Mus musculus: one gene and its partners. The protein of the gene in region 1 purifies or fractionates together with the protein of each later gene. This does not show direct contact. Links are inferred from orthologs where the notes say so. Each region holds a gene or a part of one and is shown in the gene's direction. Other genes may lie near its edges.

Region 1 (5,552 bases):
CTGTAGTCAGCAGAGGTAAGATGGGGACAGAAGAGGAGTTTTTCTAGGAGAGAAGGCTTCAAAGAAGAGGCAGTGTGTTATCAGAATCCTTGAGGGCAAGTTGGAATTTGCAGTGACAAGAATTTGAGAAAAAGGGAAACAGTGAACAAAGCCCAGAGACAGTTTCCATAGCGTAAGATGGAGTAGAGCTTTAATGTCACATCCGGGCCCTAGGACATATTAAGGGGCATTGTACTGGCTGGGTTTGGGTGTCATCTTGACACAGGCTGGAGTTATCACAGAGAAAGGAGCTTCAGTTGGGGAAATGCCTCCGTGAGATCCAGCTGTAAGGCATTTTCTCAATTAGTGATCAAGGATGGGAGGGCCCATTGTGGGTGGTGCCATCCCTGGGCTGGTAGTCTTGGGTTCTATAAGAAGGTAAGCTAAGCAAGCCAGTAAGTAACATCCCTCCATGGCCTCTGCATCAGCTCCTGCTTCCGGACTTGCTTGAGTTCCAGTCCTGACTTCCTTTCGTGATCAACAGCAATTTGGAAGTATAAGCTGAATAAACCCTTTCCTCCCCAACTTGCTTCTTTGTCTGATGTTTGTGCAGGAAGAGAACCCCTGAGTAATACAGGCGTGCTGGCTAGTTTTAGGTCATTGTGGCACAAGCTAGAGTCATCTGAAAGGGAACCTCAGTTGAGAAGATGCCTCCAAAAAGATCTAGCTGAAGGGCATTTTTAAAGTTAGTGTATGATGGGGGCTGGCTCATAATGGTAGTTGCATGCTTGACTTGTAGAAGAAAGTGCCGGACTGTTTTCTAAAGCCTCCGAACCATTTGTGATCCTCCCAGCTGTGTGGGAGTTTCCTTCATCAGTGCTGCTGTGTGTCCATTGGGATTTTAGCTCTCCCAACAGTTGAAAGCAGTAGCTATCTCACTGTGGATTTCAGTCGCATTTCCCAGGTGGATAATGGTATGGAATATTTGGGGTTTCTGGTATGCATCTTTGCAAAAACCCAAGGGCAACTGCACATGGTGTTCTTCAGTGTACCATTCATACCCCTTTTCTTGGACATGGTGTCTCACCAGATTGGCATTCCACCAATGGGTGAAGCTGTCTGGTCAGTGAACTCCAGGGATCTGCCTGTCTCTGCTTCCCCACTGCTTGCTATGTGAGCTCTAGAAATTAAACAAGATTGGACTTGTGTCCTCCACGTACTAGGAAACACTTTACCAACAGAGCTGTTTCCTCAGCTCTGTAATGAATAATTTTTAGTATATTTATTGGTTATTTGTACTTGTGTGTGTGTGCTTGCATATTTGTATATATGGGTAGTATCTTGTGTGTGTGTGTGTGTGTGTGTGTGTATATATATATATACTGGTTTCTCTGATTTTATTTCCAAACTTGAAGCCCCATGCTTTTATGTTGTAGATGATTAATATATTTATGTATTAAGAATGTATCGTTCAAGTCATAAATGGAACACTTTATGAGGGAGGGCAGTGGTTTTGAGAATTATTCTAAATGTTTTTCAGCTGAGAAAAGATGACAGCAATCAAGCATGCGCTGCAGAGAGATATCTTCACACCAAATGATGAACGCCTGCTGAGCATCGTGAATGTCTGCAAAGCTGGCAAGAAGAAGAAGAACTGTTTTCTGTGTGCCACAGGTAGGTGGTTATTAAGCAAAAATATGTACTTGATACCTTCCTTAGGTCATACTCTCATTGTTTCTATAACTGGGAGAGTTATTGGGCTGATAAGTTAATTTTAATTGTTAATATTGATTGCTGGATGCTGTAAGAGAATTTTTATAGTGTATGTCTAAGGTGGCTGACAAGGGAAAAGGAGGACTCCGGGTGCGCAGTGTAGGGTGACAACAGCTCTTCTTTACCCCATTCCTTTCTGCTCTCCAGTGGTCAGTGTCTGGGATCCTGCATCTTACCACATTCCCCATGTGTAATTTCCATTTACTTGTCTTTAAACGTTTAATAAATTGAATTAAAATTCCTTGTGACCCTTCCCATTCAGCAGTAGATTCATGAGAATTTCGTTTTATTCTGGAGTTTTTATTGTTTTGTTTTTGAGACATGATTTCACTCTGTATTTCCAGCTGGCCTGGAGTTTATATTGCTCCACCCGCCTACGCAGTCTGCTAGCACAGCTGGCCATGAGTTGAATCTGTTCTTACACAAGGCTCTAACACCATCATAGTCACTGCCATGGCAAGCTCCGCTGTGAGTGTCCCATGGTCCCCATACCCACCCCACCAGGGTGAGCAGTAGGTTTGTGCCTGAGCTTTGCTGTTTAAACAACTCGTCTGTGAATGTGTTTGTGCTTGTCTTGTGCTTACACACCAAAATTATTTTAAGGCAGATTCTTGGATGTGGATTCTGCTCTAATATGCAGTTATTTTTAAAAGGGATGCTTTTCATTCCCACAGCAGTGTGGTTGGTTACCTTGTGTTCTCTACACCCTAATCAACAGTTGCTTCTGACAGACTAGTTGTCAGGATGGCAGCGTGACATAGTATCTGCCTGTGGTTTTGAAATGCACTTTCCTGATTAATGATGGGGTTGAGTGTCCTCTGTGAAGTGACTGGCCGTTTACTTGAGTAATGTATGGTTTCCTATTGGATTGATGGTCATTACCCAGATTTGTATAGTTGTTCTTAATTATGATTATCTGGGTAGGTATTATAAGATAGATCTATTAGCTGCATAGATATTTCTATTATGTGGTTGTATACTTTCTGTTTTGTGGCTTATCTTTACACTTTTTGTGGTTACTCTTAATGAAATTTAATTATCATTAAATAAAATTACTTTGATGCTTTATGGTTTTTACTGCATTATTTTGTAAAGGTTTTGATTCACTTGTGTCTTAGAGAGTGTTGTGTATTTGTATCTGTCTGTCTGTCTGTGTGTGAATGAATGAGCACATGTTTGTATTTCACGATTTTTTTTCTTAAATCTCATTTTGTTTTACTTTGTTCTTTACTCTTTCATCTTAATTTTAGAATCAACTTCTTAAGTTCCAGATTCTGTTGTGTTTTGATTGGGATTGTTTTTAAGCTATCTTTTAAGTTGTAGGGAACTTGCATTTTTATTAATGATGATTATGCCCATAAACATGTTTATTTTCTGCTTTTATAAGCCTTGCTGTTTTCTTTAAAAGTTTCTTCCTTTGGTCTGTGTGTTGTTACCAGTTATAATGTAACTTGATGAAACAAAATGGTACGTTTTATAAATGCCCTGTTTGCCAGTATACTGGTTTAAAATTTTGCATTCATGTTCCTCATTTATGTGTAGTTTTCTTCTCGATACCTTCGGCTGGTTAGCCATAGTTATTAAATAAGCCAGTACATGCCCCTGGTGTCCTCACTAGAATAGTTGTGTGTTTGGAGTTATTCTCTTCTTGCAAACTTGGCAGGAGAAGCAGGTAGCAGTGCTGGACTAGTGTGGGAGGTGGGGTGACGGCACAGTTTTGCCCAGCAAGTGTAGTTTAGTGCGTATCTTCCCCAAATATTCTTTAGTCCAGTGGTTCTCAACCTTCCTAGTGCTGCTACCCTTTAACACAGTTCCTCATGCTGTGGTGACCCCAAACATAACATTTTTGTTGCTGCTTCATAGCTGTAATTTTGTTTTCTGTAATATCTGTTTTCAGATGGTCTTAGGTGGCCCCTGTGAAAAGGCCTTTCAGCCCCCAGGTTGTGGACCTCTGCTTTAGTCCATTTGGGTATATTAAAATTTCTAAGAGAGTATTTGGGGGTTTGTTGTTTGTTTGTTCATTGTTGTTTGGAAAGCCATTTGCTTTTCAAATGTATCAGCATTTATTTCAAATCTAAACTCCATTCTTACGCCAGAGTTGTATTTTGGAACCTAGAGCCTGTAATTTCTCCAATAGCATCCCTTGCTGCCTCCGCTGGAGCCCTCGAAGAGCTGAGCATCCACCCTTTGTGGTAACTTCATTCCTATCCACCGCATATTACGCCGTGCTGTCTGTGTTGAATACTTCCTGTTGCTCTTCGTGAAGGCATTAGGCTCTTTCAGGACTCTCAGACTTATGCATATCAGTCACTAGATCTCTGTTCTTACACTCTGTAAGAGAGGCCTGAAGCTTTACCTCTCGGGCATCTCTCAGCCTCCAGCTCTCTAGTCTGGTTTAGATGCTTCCTTTAGGACTCTGTAACGGCCTCGGCTGACTTTTCACAAAGCATTGCCTTACTTCAGTGTTGCCGTCCAGGTTCCCAAGAGCCACATTTAGAGTGTGTGCAGGAAGAATGAGTCGGGGACTGATAGGCTAACAGTCGTGTCTGTGTGCTTTGTTCAACAGTGACCACTGAACGCCCCGTGCAGGTGAAGGTGGTCAAAGTCAAGAAATCCGACAAGGGAGATTTCTACAAAAGGCAGATTGCTTGGGCCCTGCGAGACCTTGCTGTGGTCGACGCCAAAGATGCCATCAAAGTAAGTTTTCCACAGTCCTTTGCTTGTGTTCAGGAAGAGTCTTTCTTGTTCCATAGAGCAGTGTGTGTCCTGAGATGGTCTAAGCTTGTTCTGTGGCTGCAGGTCTGCCCCCTGCTAGTCTAAAATGCGTTCATCTCTGCTTCTTCAGGCCTGCTATTAGACCACTTAATAATAATAAAACTACATACATGTGCTTGGTTCAATTTTTTACTTTGTTAAAGCTACAGTTATATTTGTGTTCAAACTACATAAACTAGAGCAAAATAAACTTAATACTATATATTTCTTTATTTAAATATACTTAATATAAAATTCTATCAATTAGTATGGATTTCAAAGTAATATGTTGTGTGAGTTAACTCTAAAATAGTCATTGTTTTGGTAAGCCTTGATTCAAAAGCATGTGTCGTACATAAGGGAGGGGGTCTTTCTGTTTTAATCCTCTCAAGTGAAATGAGGACTCCGCAGCTGATGGAGCCAATCTGGGCATTGGACATTTGTGGTTCAAATAAAGGAAGTGATGTGGGCTTACACACTTTATTTTGAGGTGATTAAATAAAATTTTAAAGCTATAAATTTTATACCTTTCTTTGAGTGTGCTCAAACTTCAAGGACATGGCATGACTCAGTATTCACATTAAAGGGCTCAAGGCAGTTGAGCTCAGCAGGGTCCTGTGAATGTCACCAGAGCTCTCTCCCTCTCTCAGTTAATGGGGCCCTCCCTCTACCTTCCCTCCTGGCTAGCTCTGACCCAGTCATTGCACAGTGGAGCACAGCAGCACACCTACTGTGTGTTGGTGGGGCACAGAGCAAGGCTCACACCACTGTCACTCTGAGACCTCTGCTGGATCTCCTAAAGTCCTGCCTGCTTGCCAGAGGTACAAAGCAGAGAAAAGTGGTAGAGGCGTTTGAGGAAGAAACATTGCTGTGCAGTGGCTGTCCTGGTTAGTGTTTGTCAGCCTCACACAGACTTGTCACGGGGAAGGAAGCAACTTCACCTGAGGAAGTGCCTCCATCCGACTGGCCTCCAGGCATATCTGTGGGGCATTTTCTCCATTGTTGATTGAGGTGGGAGGGCCCAGCCTCTGTGGGTGGTGCCATCC
Region 2 (5,984 bases), on another chromosome or scaffold:
TGAGATCAGCTCACCATCAACCCCTCTAAAAATAGCTGGGTATGGGCATGACAGCTCACTGGGGAAGCTGAAGCAAGAGAAGCATAAAGACCAGGGCCAACCTAAGGAACAGAGACTCTTGTCTCTTAAAATCAACAAAATAACCTGGCCAGGAATGGTGGTGCACAGCTGTAAACCCTTGGGTAGAGGCAAGAGGATCTTGTGGTTGAAGCCAGTATGGGCTGCTATCAAGAACCCATCTCTAGCCGGGTGGTGGTGGCACACGCCCTTAATCCCAGCACTTGGGAGGCAGAGGCAGGCGGATTTCTGAGTTCGAGGCCAGCCCAGTCTACAGAGTGAGTTCCAGGACAGCCAGGACTACACAGAGAAACCCTGTCTCGAAAAACAAACAAACAAACAAACAAAGAACCCATCTCTTAAAAATAAATAAATAAATAAATAAATCCTGCAAATCAACTTGTTGAGAATCAGGCTTATGCAAAGAATACCTCTACAAGGTCCTTTCTTGGTCTCAGTTTTAACAGGGGCTCACTGAGACGGATGGAGCACATGCCTCCTCTCCCTTCATAGGTGCAGATCCCAGCACACCTGGAAAACAGTCACAACAATGGATTAGGGTCAACGAATACAGAGGAGACAGAACAAAAAGCAAACCTTAGTCTGGCATGGTGGTGCAGGCCTTTAATCCCAGCACGTGGAAGGCAGATGCAGGAGGATCTCCGAGTTCCAGGCCAGCCTGGTCTACAGAGTATGTTCCAGGACAGCCACAGATACATAGTGAGGCCCTCTCCCCTCTCCCCACAAAAAAGGGGGTGGGGGTGGGCAGCAAATCCCTAACAGTTCTTGGGCAAGAACTGTTTCACAAGAAAACGTCCCTGATGGGAGGATGGCTTTCCTGAGTGGGTCACTTGGCTTCAGAGAGTTAACACTTGCTAACCCTCACCCACTGTCACCCTCTCCCCTCCGCACAGGCATACATGGGCACTTCTCCCAAAACAGTCACAGGGCTGGTATGAGGTTAGAAGTACACTACGTCTTAGCCTGCTTTACCTCAAGCTGCTATGTGACAGTGTATGTGCGGGGCAGATTACTATCTCGAATAGGATTTCTCAAACTCTGATAAGGGATCCGGCTGGTTCATCACTGAGGGACGTTGGGCCCGGGACTGGGGAGTGGGCACGTTTCCCGGCGACCTCTCCCTGCGCCGCGAGGCGGGGACACCAACGACAATTTAGCGGCCTGGCCCTTCCCGACGTTCCGAGCCGTTCGCGGACGCACTCACAGGGTCATGCGCACACTCCACTTCACCTCCACCGCCTCCAGCTGACCCCAGAAGAAGCGATCGTTAAACTGCAGGAAGAGCGCCTGCAGGTCTGGGGTGGGGTCCACCAGCTCCCAGGACGCGTCCACCAACGACACGGGCTCCCGCGCCGCCGCCGCGCGCCGCGCCATCTGCACGTCCCACTCCTCCTGCAGCCGCAACGCGACCACCAGATCCTCGTCCATCCCGCTACTCCCACCTCGGCCGCTCCCAAGACGCCGGTCGGGCTCGTGCGGCGCACGGATCTCGCGAGGCCTCCCGGCCCTGCTGTCAGGGCGCGCGGGCTAGCCTCGAACGCCTAACCGAAGGTGGCTCGGCGCTGCCCCGCGGGCACAGGCTTAGGAACGCTGGGCTCGGGCTGGGGACGGCTTTAGGCAGCCGGTTGTCTCCTGACAGCCGCTGAGGTCCGGCGACACACGTCAAGTCTGGTCCGTGCCGGACCCTCCTCTGACTTCCGTGCTGGCTCGTCCGCGCACGCGCCTTAAGACGCTGCCGTTTCCGCGCAGGCGCATTGTCCGCACTCCGCCCCGGGCGCAGGCGCAGTGCGAGCGGCTCGACTCTGGCACAGGCGCAATGCAGCGCTCGGCTCCGGCGCAGGCGTTTGGGTGTTGCTCCCGCCCCGCTTCCTCCGCTGCCTTCTCCACCGGGCTCGGGTGGGGCCCGGAGGCGGCGAGTAACAGCCACTGCGGGCCGCGGGAGCAAGACGAGTGGCAGCCATGTCGGACAGCGGGGCGAGCCGCCTGCGGAGGCAGCTGGAGTCGGGGGGCTTCGAGGCGCGGCTGTACGTGAAGCAACTGTCGCAGCAGTCGGACGGCGACCGCGACCTGCAGGAGCACCGGCAGCGGGTGCAGGCGCTGGCAGAGGAGACGGCACAGAACCTGAAGCGCAACGTCTACCAGAACTACCGGCAGTTCATCGAGACGGCGCGGGAGATCTCCTACCTGGAGAGCGAAATGTACCAGCTGAGCCACCTGCTGACTGAGCAGAAGAGCAGCCTGGAGAGCATCCCGCTGGCACTGCTGCCCGCCGCCGCCGCGGGCGCCTCTGCGGGTGAGGACACGGCCGGCGCGGGGCCGCGGGAGCGCGGGGCGGTCCAGGCGGGCTTCCTGCCCGGGCCGGCGGGCGTCCCTCGAGAGGGTTCCGGGACGGGCGAGGAGGGCAAGCAGCGAACGCTCACCACGCTGCTGGAGAAGGTGGAGGGCTGCAGGGACCTGTTGGAGACGCCAGGTCAGTACCTGGTGTACAACGGGGACCTGGTGGAATACGATGCGGACCACATGGCCCAGCTGCAGCGCGTGCACGGCTTCCTCATGAACGACTGTCTGCTGGTGGCCACCTGGCTGCCACAACGGCGAGGCATGTACCGCTACAACGCACTCTACCCGCTGGACCGCCTGGCGGTGGTCAACGTCAAAGACAATCCGCCCATGAAAGACATGTTCAAGCTTCTCATGTTCCCCGAGAGCCGAATCTTCCAGGCGGAAAATGCCAAGATCAAGCGCGAGTGGCTGGAAGTGCTGGAGGAAACCAAGAGGGCCCTCAGCGACAAGAGGAGGCGGGAGCAGGAGGAGGCAGCAGCCCCGCGTGCGCCACCACCGGTCACTTCCAAGGGCAGCAACCCGTTTGAGGACGAGGATGATGAAGAACTGGCCACCCCTGAGGCGGAGGAGGAAAAGGTTGACCTTTCCATGGAGTGGATCCAAGAGCTGCCGGAAGACTTGGATGTTTGTATTGCACAGAGGGACTTTGAGGGTGCCGTGGACTTGCTGGACAAATTAAATCACTACCTGGAAGATAAGCCCAGCCCACCTCCTGTGAAAGAGCTGAGGGCCAAAGTGGACGAACGAGTGCGACAGCTCACCGAGGTGCTTGTGTTTGAGCTCTCCCCGGATCGCTCTCTGAGAGGCGGCCCCAAGGCTACTCGGAGAGCCGTGTCTCAGCTGATCCGGCTGGGCCAGTGCACGAAGGCTTGCGAGCTGTTTCTGAGGAACAGGGCCGCAGCCGTGCACACTGCCATCCGCCAGCTCAGGATTGAGGGCGCCACGCTGCTCTACATTCACAAGCTGTGCCACGTCTTCTTTACCAGCCTCCTAGAGACCGCGAGAGAGTTTGAGACGGACTTTGCAGGCACTGACAGTGGCTGCTACTCTGCCTTTGTGGTCTGGGCAAGGTCGGCCATGGGCATGTTCGTGGATGCTTTCAGCAAGCAGGTTTTTGACAGCAAGGAGAGCCTGTCCACCGCTGCTGAGTGTGTGAAGGTGGCCAAGGAGCACTGCCAGCAGCTGGGAGAGATTGGGCTGGACCTCACCTTCATCATCCACGCCCTGCTGGTGAAGGACATCCAGGGCGCCCTGCACAGTTACAAGGAGATTATCATTGAAGCCACCAAGCACCGAAACTCGGAGGAGATGTGGCGCCGCATGAACCTGATGACTCCTGAGGCCCTGGGCAAGCTCAAGGAGGAGATGAAAAGTTGCGGGGTCAGTAACTTTGAGCAGTACACGGGAGATGACTGCTGGGTGAACTTGAGCTACACGGTGGTAGCCTTCACCAAGCAGACTATGGGCTTCCTGGAGGAGGCATTGAAACTGTACTTCCCTGAGCTCCACATGGTGCTCCTGGAGAGCCTGGTAGAAATCATCCTGGTGGCTGTGCAGCATGTGGACTACAGCCTGCGCTGTGAGCAGGACCCCGAGAAGAAGGCCTTCATCAGGCAGAACGCATCCTTTCTCTATGAAACTGTCCTCCCGGTGGTGGAGAGGAGGTTTGAGGAAGGTGTGGGGAAGCCCGCCAAGCAGCTGCAGGACCTCCGGAACGCATCCCGGCTCCTGCGGGTGAATCCCGAGAGCACGACTTCTGTGGTCTGAGGCTCTGCTCTGTGTCTTTGTGTGTGTACGTGTACACGTGCTACAGATGCGTCATTTGTATTTACATTACACAATGTCAGCACATTCCTCAGAGACACAGACAGCATATAAAAGTGCCCTCTGAAAAATGCAGTCAAAAGGAGAAAGATAATGTGTTAAGCATCACATACAACCCCCCAATACTGGGACTGTCAAGAGCACATACCATGTCTTGCTCTGTTTTTTAATAATTCTTTAAGTAGAGTGTATGGTCACACCAGAACATTTCAGGCTACTCTTTAACTTGAAAGACACTTCTCACGTTAGCACATCTAGGAGCAGTGCACTTCCATGCTGCCTAGAAAAATATTAGGTCCACAGGGTTTAAGTATGTTGTAAAACATTCCAAGTCAACAAAATGGCTTCGTAATGGTCAGTGCTGTGTGACACACCTGTGTCCTGTACTGAGACAGATCAACATGAAAAGAAATGAGTTGGGAAAACTGGTTTGGGATAAATTTCAATATGTGGGCCTCAGGTCTGTCAGTATTTGTAGCATGTGGAAGGAAGCCTTTATAAAACTTTGCAGGCATCCAAAAGTCACTGAAAAGTAGCATGTTCCATGGCTAATTGGATGCATCTTTTTGGGGGAGGTGGGAGAATCACAAGGACTACGTTGAATTTTTAACATATTCCAGAACTGAATGGATTTGCTGCTGCAGCGTGTTTTGCCATGTTCAGGAAGTAAGTCTTGCTGAAAAGCCACACCAAGGATCCTAGCAGTAGGCGGGTAAGTGACTCCAGCCCCTGCAGACACTTCACCACCAGCCTGGGTTTGGAGGCACTGAGACTTCTGGCAAATGCAGAACTCCCTGTCTGAGAAGAGTTCAGGCTGTGTGTAGGTTAGGAGTTTTAAAAAAAAGAATGCAATGTCACTCCTTAAGAATGCCAGAGATTTGGTTTTGGTCATTTTGTTTTCTTGAGATAAGTTTCAGCCCAGACTGGTTTTGGGCTGGTGCTGTAACCAAGGATGACCTTGAATTTCTAATCCTGACTCCACATCCCAAGGGCTGGGATTACAGGAATGTGCCATAATGCTATTTATGCTGTGTTGGAGAAAAAAAACCCTGGCTTTCTCATACTAGGCAAGCACCCTACCCACTGCTACACCTGCTGCCCTGATGGTTTTTGAAACTTAGTAACTGAGTAGAGATGCACATACCTCAAGCACAGGGAAGGGACCTTCTGTGACTCTTCAAATGCTGTGCTGCATTTTAAAAAACAAGAGCCTGGCATGCTGGTGCACACTTTTAATCAGAGCACTGGGAGGCAGGAGCAAGCGGATCTCTGAGTTCAAGGCCAGCCTGATCAACAAGGTGAATTTCAGGACAGCCAGGGATCTGTAGAGACCCTGCCTTAAAAACAACTTTTAAGAGAATTCCAGATTGTAATACTTACTTCAGGTTGTTGAGTAGGGATAGGTGGGTAGGTGGAGCCCCTAAGCTTTTATTTTTTTTTCTTTTTCTTTTTTTGGTTTTTTTTTTGTTTTTTTGTTTTGTTTTTTGTTTTTTCAAGGGTTTCTCTGTATAGCCTTGGCTGTACTGAAACTCACTCTGTAGACCAGGCTATCCTTGAACTCAGAAATCCTCCTGCCTCTGCCTCTGCCTCCCAAGTGCTGGGATCAAAGGCATGCGCCACCATGCCCGGCTTGCCCCTGATTTCTAAAGTGAGCTCTGCTCTGATCACTTAATGTCCTGTTAGAATGTGGGTGCTGAAACCCATTTTCCCACTAGCTTGTAGCTGTGGGTTTTGTCAAC
Region 3 (6,321 bases), on another chromosome or scaffold:
CTCCTCTGCTCTCACGGGGGTGGGGTGGGGTCAGGAGCCTCCTGTGCCCTAGGACATCCCAGAGCAAGGCAGAGCAGAGGGATCTTTTCACCCAATGATATTTTTATTCTGCAATAGATACATTTTAACCTTTTTTTCTTTATGGCTCATGTACTTTGTATTTTCACAACAGTCTCTGTGGCTTTTGACAAAACCTGGGAAGTTGATGTTAATGTCACCATCCACAAATTTTTTCAGGCTTTAATTGGCTATTATGAGAAAACTTCCTCCACTACTAACCCCTTTGTTTCCTTATGTTTTAAATTTTCTCTTTTAACAGTTTCACCTTGCTTAATCCACTTACCTGCACTCATCTGAACATATTTGTACTTCCCACTCTGTTCTTAATTATGCATCAAGTCTCCCTTTTCCCACATTCTCTTCGGTCTGAAATCCTCTATGCTCTCTTCCTTGTCTCTGTTCTACTTGTTTGGAGGCTACAATTCTATCTCTTTGGTGCATATTTAATAACATCTACTGTGTAGCTCATCAAGAAGTCTGGCCTCTGAGAACATGAACAAGTTTTGGCCACATTAAGACTCACTTCTATTAAGATTGAGGGGGCCCAAAGAGCCCTTCTGGATTTTCTTTGCCAAAGGCTAGGCCTTAGCACTACTCTTCACACTGAAGAGGAGGAATCTGTCCCAAGTGCAGTGTCTTTGGCAGCCTTCTCTACTTCAGGGCCTAGCATAGCCATGTAGCCTTCTAGCCATCCCCAGGATAGATTGGTTCTGTTGTGTTTCTGGACCCACCTGTTCACCAAGGAAGCTCTAAGGTGATCATCTGGGTTTCTAGGATTCTCCATATGCTCTTCACCTACTTGGAACCCATGCCTTCTCCTTTGTGTGGGCAGGTGTAAAAATGGCTTTGGGGCTACTCTCCCTGCTTCAGGGCTGCAGAACCTTTAGTCACTGCTTCATTTTTTTTTTTCTTTCCCTACTTTGGCTCTGGTCATTCCTAGGCCTACCTATGAACTTACTTGTACACTCAAAAGTATCCTGAGCTTTGTCACTCTGTGGCTTACCAAAAACAAAAGCTGAGATTCTTATTTTATTTATTTAATTGAAAGGAAACAAGCTGAGTCATCTACTGAAGCAGTTCACATCTAACTAGGCTAGTTAACTGAATTCGTTAGGGAGCACCATGACTAAACACTCCACTATATAGTGGGCAGCAGGAGATTAGGGTTGGATATAAGGTAACTAAGGAAAACCGCAGCTTTGTCTTGGTAGCTGTGCCTCCCCACTTTGCAGTTAAACATTCATGAAGCTGAAATTTCTCCTGTTTTGTCATAAACTAAGGGGTCAGGGCACTTTCCCAGTTGCAACCCCTACACTAAGGGAGGGTCTGCATCTTTAAAAGACTGACTTCATCATATAATTTGCATTGTGGTTATGACAGGTTACCTATACTGTTCTTTCATTTACTGAAGATTTACCCCATCATCCATTGGCTTGGGAGAGCCAGACTTTGTAGTGATGTTATGGATAGGCACACAACTCAACAAATGTATGCAGAAAAGGTGAAAAAAAAAAAACACAACCAAACCTGTCAGGGTAGGGTTGTCATACCTGATGGGTGAGTGGAAGAACCTAAACCCCGCCAAAATTTACTAAAAGTTCGTAACAGTGTGGGGAAATCTCTGTATCTGCAGAGGTAGAACAAAGTTTCTGGCTGTTCTAGGTACCGGGGCGACTCGATGCTTCACTGCTTCCTTCAGCTGGAGTAATTCCACCAGCTGCTGTTTTGCTCGTGGTTTTGTTTTCTTCGCCGCTTCTACGTGCTACGCGAGCAGCTATCAGCAGGCAGCCCACTCTCTGTGGCACTGTCCTGAATACTTGAAATCTACTTGCTGTCAGAAACCTCTGGGGGATGAGGGCGAGGACAGCAAGAAGAAACAAATATACGAAATATAAGTAGTGGAATCTTGAATACAAGACACAGTAAAGATATGGAGAGGTGTGGAGAGACTAAGGTAGCTAAGGGGAGGAACTGAGCAAGGGCAAACCTAAGTGGTTAATCCGGAGAGAAAGGGTGGGTACAATAGGTGCTACTTAAAATAAGAGGGTCGGGAGAGCGCCAAACGTCAGACGGCGGAGCCAGGCCTGAATCTGTAATCCCTGATCCTGAGTCTGTGTCACCAGAAGCACAAGTTTCCTAAGAGTCTACAGAAAGATCGCCCGTACAGCGCCTTCAAGGTTACCCAGAGCCCATCCTTCCGCCCAGACGCCGGAAACGGAAGTGACCGCGTTGCACACTTCCGGTCCGGCTCCGGGAGGTGGCAGCGGCGTTGCGGACGGTGAGGAAGCTCTGCTCTGACAGCCTTGGGTGCCTGTGCGGTGGGCGGGGCGCTGGGCCCTCGACTGTGGCACAGTGTACCCCTTAGTGGGTTTGTCCTTGGCGAGGGACAGCATCGGCCGACGTTTCTGGCGGGATGCGACACCCTCTAGTGCGGGTCCCTGGGCGGGTTTGGGTTTGTCCTCGGTGTGCGTCCCTCCCATCTCCTTGGTCGGGGCTGCTTCTACCCTCAGAGTTCCCTTTTGCCCCAGAGGCCGGAAATCTGACAGTCCTCAAGCTGCCATTGGAAGCAGATTTGGTGGCGATCCAGTACAGTTTTTTTAGTTTTTGATTCTCTGTGTTCAGGTTTATGAGTGGACTCTTTCTTGCAAAGCTTTTTTGGTTTTGGGTCAGCTTTCCTTTTGCATCTGGCTTGTAACACTGCCACAGGAGTGCCTTTCACCTGTCAGCTGGAGTGGGGGACTCCATGCCAGAGGGATGGTTTGGTATTATGTTTAATACCTAGTCCTGTAAATAGAATTATACAAGTTTTAATGTTTTGGGAATGCTGAAGATAACATGTCAAACTAAAGCAAAAGAAAAAAAAAAAAGCCCGCAGTGAATCAGTCCTGTTAGAAGTGGTTGTGGAATCCTCTTTCTGTGGCCTGCTCAGATTTCCTGTCTGGGTACGAGTAATTTTATAGTCAGAAGATGAAGATGGTGTTTGCAATGCTGTTCCACTTGAATGAAAATGCAAAGAGAGAAATACACAGGGAGAAGCTACATAACTGGAAATGTACAATGGATTTTAGTGGTTTTCTGAGACTACTTGGGAATAGAGTGAAAGATTCCAGAAGGTAGGTCTTTATCACATCTGTGGCTGTTGAGTAGCTGAAATTAAAGGAAACAGTGTTATTAATTCCCTCATTTGCTGGATAGTCAGCAAATAGCCATTGTAGGTCCATGACTTGGATAGTATTAGATATTAGACTAAAGGGTGATTGACCGGGTACATTTGTGCTTAGGGGAAACAAGCTACTCAAGTAAGGACAATAAATTACCTTTTGCTGTCTTATCTTTGTTTTTAGAAGTGTTCAAAAGTAAGAAGTGGTATCTTGGCCACCCAGAGCAATGGTAAGGGAGTATAAGACTCGTGTTTGCCCACTGGGCTGCTGCTGAAGTGTAGGTAATAGTTGTTGCCTTCCAGTGACTAACTACCCCATGGACTTGGGCAGCACTAGGGTGAGCTCCAGAAATGAAAAGCTGATCTTTTATAGGGCTAAGAATTGTGTTAGAGCTGCCTTTGACATAGTCTTAAGTCCCTGTATAAATACTCTCTGTGTGACTGTCTTACGCCTGTGAGATATCCCTGCTTCTCTCTGTTAAGGTAAAATCTTCTTAGCAATTGAATTCTAAGGATTTGCAGTTTTGTTAAGGAGTTTATGACCCAAGTTCAGCTTTCATTTCTAGTTTGCTAATTTAAATGCCATAGAAATTCTCCATTAGTTGCATGGTGAGCACATGACCTTTGCATGTGGAGTCGTCACTTCATTTTGACATACCCTCTCCTTTGTGTATATAGTGTACCTGTGGTATGACATGTGCAAAGATTCTGCCTGCTTTTTGACAATGAAGGAGACAGACCTGGAGGCTGTTGCAACAGCAGTCCAAAGGGTTGCTGGGATGCTTCAGCGCCCAGACCAACTGGACAAAGTGGAGCAGTATCGCAGAAGGGAAGCTCGGAAGAAGGCCTCTGTAGAGGCCAGGCTAAAGGTAGGAGACCATAGAAATGACGGGACTGAGCATTTGTCTTGAGTTTCTCTTCGCCACTACCCTGCTTGCCTACCACCCTATTTTATGGAAATATATTCTCAACTGAGGTTGACTCAGTCTTGTGACAAGTTAACATAAAGTTAGTCAACACAGTATAGTATATATTATGTGTGTGTGTGTACATATACACTTAAATCTAGATTCTGTATATGAAAGCCTGGTATTTTTGTCTTTCTTCTTACTGTTTTTTCAAGTTCCTTTCATTTGGACTAGCAGTTCTCATCCTGTAGATCATGATCCCTTTGGGGATCGAGCAACCCTTTCACAGGGGTCAGTCACCTAAGACCATCAGAAAACACACATTTACAGTAATGTTCATAATAATAGCAAAAAATTTAAAAAGTACATTTATGAAGTAGCAAGGAGCCGGGTGGTGGTGGTGCACATCTTTAATCCCAGCACTTGGGAAGCAGAGGCAGGTGAATCTCTGTAAGTTCAAGGCCATCCTGGTCTTCAGAGCAAGTTCCAGGACAGCTAAGGCTGTATAAAGAGACCCTATCTGGAAAACCTACCTACCAACCAACCTACCAAACAAAATGAAGTAGCAACAAACATAATTGTATGGTTGGGGTCACCACAACATGAGGAACGTGTTAAAAGGCTGCAGCATTAGTAAGATTGAGAACCACTGCTTTAGACTCTTTTCTTCATACCTCATAATCCCCTTTAACTTTCATGCTCTCTCTCTCTCTCTCTCTCTCTCTCTCTCTCTCTCTCTCTCTCTCTGTGTGTGTGTGTGTGTGTGTGTACTTAAATCTAATTTCTTTAACTCTGAAAGAAGACATGCAATATTTGTTTTTCTGAGTATGACTTATTTAATCAAAATGACCTCTAGTTTCTCTCCTTTCTTTTTTCTGCAGATGACGTAATTTCATCTTTCTTCACAGTTGGATAAAATTCTATTGTGCACTTTATCCATTCATCTGTTGATGGACTTCTAGGCCAGTTCTGTGTCTTGGCTTTTGTGAATAGTGCAGCAATAAGCACAGATGTGCTAGTAGTATCTCTTTCGCTTGTGACATAGACTCTTTTGGGTGATAGAGCTGGATTGTATGGTAGTTTTATGTTTTGAAGATACCTCCATACTGAGGCACATACTTGTGTACCATGTGCCTGTCTGGTGTCTGCAGAGGTCAGAAGAGGGCATTAGGTGCCCCAGGAACTGGGATGGATGGCTGTGAGCCACCATGTGGGTGCTGGCGACTGAAGCCAGAACTGCAAGGGCAGCAAGTGCTGTTCATCACCAAGCCATCTCTCTGCCTCCCAGCGTGTTTTTTTTAAATGATAGCCATTATGATTGGAGTGAGATAGAATATTAATGTACTTTTGTTTATCCAGCTATTCTTGCTTCTTTGATTGATGGTTTTGTGTGTGTGTGATGGTTTTAGGCAAGATCTCGCCATACACCTCTGGCTGGCTTTGTACTCCCTGTGTAGCCCAAACTGGCCTCAAATTCACAATAGTTCTTTTGCTTTAGGGCTTGAGTGCAGACTTTACAGTTGTGTGTCACCACATACACCCAGTATAGTTTCAATTGCATTTTCCTAAAGGATAATGTTGTTGAACATTTTTTCATGGATCTTATTTGCATTTCTTCTTTTGATAGCTATATGTTCAGTTTGTTAGCTTGTTAATGGAGATTTGGGGTGTGTGTGTGTTTACTTGTTTATGGGTGGTAGGTTTTAATCTCCTGTTAGATATAGAGAATGCAGAAATCTGTTTTGTAGGCCGCCTTTTCACTGTTTTGATTGTAACATTTGCTGTTTAGAAGCCTTTTTACCTCTTGTTGTCCTATTTGTCAGTTCTTAATGATTATTTCTTGAGCCTATTTGACTTCCTTTTAAGGCATCTTGCATATGCTTGTAGCTTACAATGTTTCTCTGTTTTGTTGTAGCATTTCAGGTCTTACATTAAGGTCTTTGATCCATTTTTAATTGATTTTTGTGCAAAATTAGTGACAGGAATCTGGTTTTATTCTTCTCGTTGTGAGTACTGAGTTTTCCCAGCACTGTTTTAAAGAGAGCATCTTTTCTAATTATGGTTTTGATACCTTTATCAAAAACTCGATGGTTGTAGTTGTATTTCCTTTCTTTTCTGGATCTTCAGCCTGTTCCATTAGTTGGTGGGTCAGTTTTCATGTAAGCACTGTGCTGTTTTGACTTTATTCTGAAA

Evidence for each region. The genes of interacting proteins can lie anywhere in the genome.
Region 2: the proteins of Exoc1 (region 1) and Exoc8 purify together in Homo sapiens (affinity purification with mass spectrometry; 3 studies listed by BioGRID and IntAct, counting the BioPlex papers as one, with this or other methods). This does not show direct contact. The link is inferred for Mus musculus from reciprocal best matches to the Homo sapiens genes EXOC1 and EXOC8.
Region 3: the proteins of Exoc1 (region 1) and Exoc3 purify together in Homo sapiens (affinity purification with mass spectrometry; 5 studies listed by BioGRID and IntAct, counting the BioPlex papers as one, with this or other methods). This does not show direct contact. The link is inferred for Mus musculus from reciprocal best matches to the Homo sapiens genes EXOC1 and EXOC3.

The regions. Positions count from the first base shown.
Region 1 is NC_000071.6:76,531,236-76,536,787, forward strand, and holds part of Exoc1 (exocyst complex component 1), read left to right. Parts: intron 1-1,519; 5' UTR 1,520-1,529; coding exon 1,530-1,653; intron 1,654-4,318; coding exon 4,319-4,449; intron 4,450-5,552.
Region 2 is NC_000074.6:124,893,680-124,899,663, reverse strand, and holds the start of Exoc8 (exocyst complex component 8), read left to right. Parts: upstream 1-1,958; 5' UTR 1,959-2,037; coding exon 2,038-4,188; 3' UTR 4,189-5,984. Other genes in the region: Sprtn (sprT-like domain-containing protein Spartan), read right to left, coding at 489-588, 1,283-1,506. UniProt on the Homo sapiens protein: Component of the exocyst complex involved in the docking of exocytic vesicles with fusion sites on the plasma membrane.
Region 3 is NC_000079.6:74,204,675-74,210,995, reverse strand, and holds the start of Exoc3 (exocyst complex component 3), read left to right. Parts: upstream 1-2,295; 5' UTR 2,296-2,338; exon of another isoform or gene 2,339-3,173; intron 3,174-3,898; 5' UTR 3,899-3,915; coding exon 3,916-4,089; intron 4,090-6,321. UniProt on the Homo sapiens protein: Component of the exocyst complex involved in the docking of exocytic vesicles with fusion sites on the plasma membrane.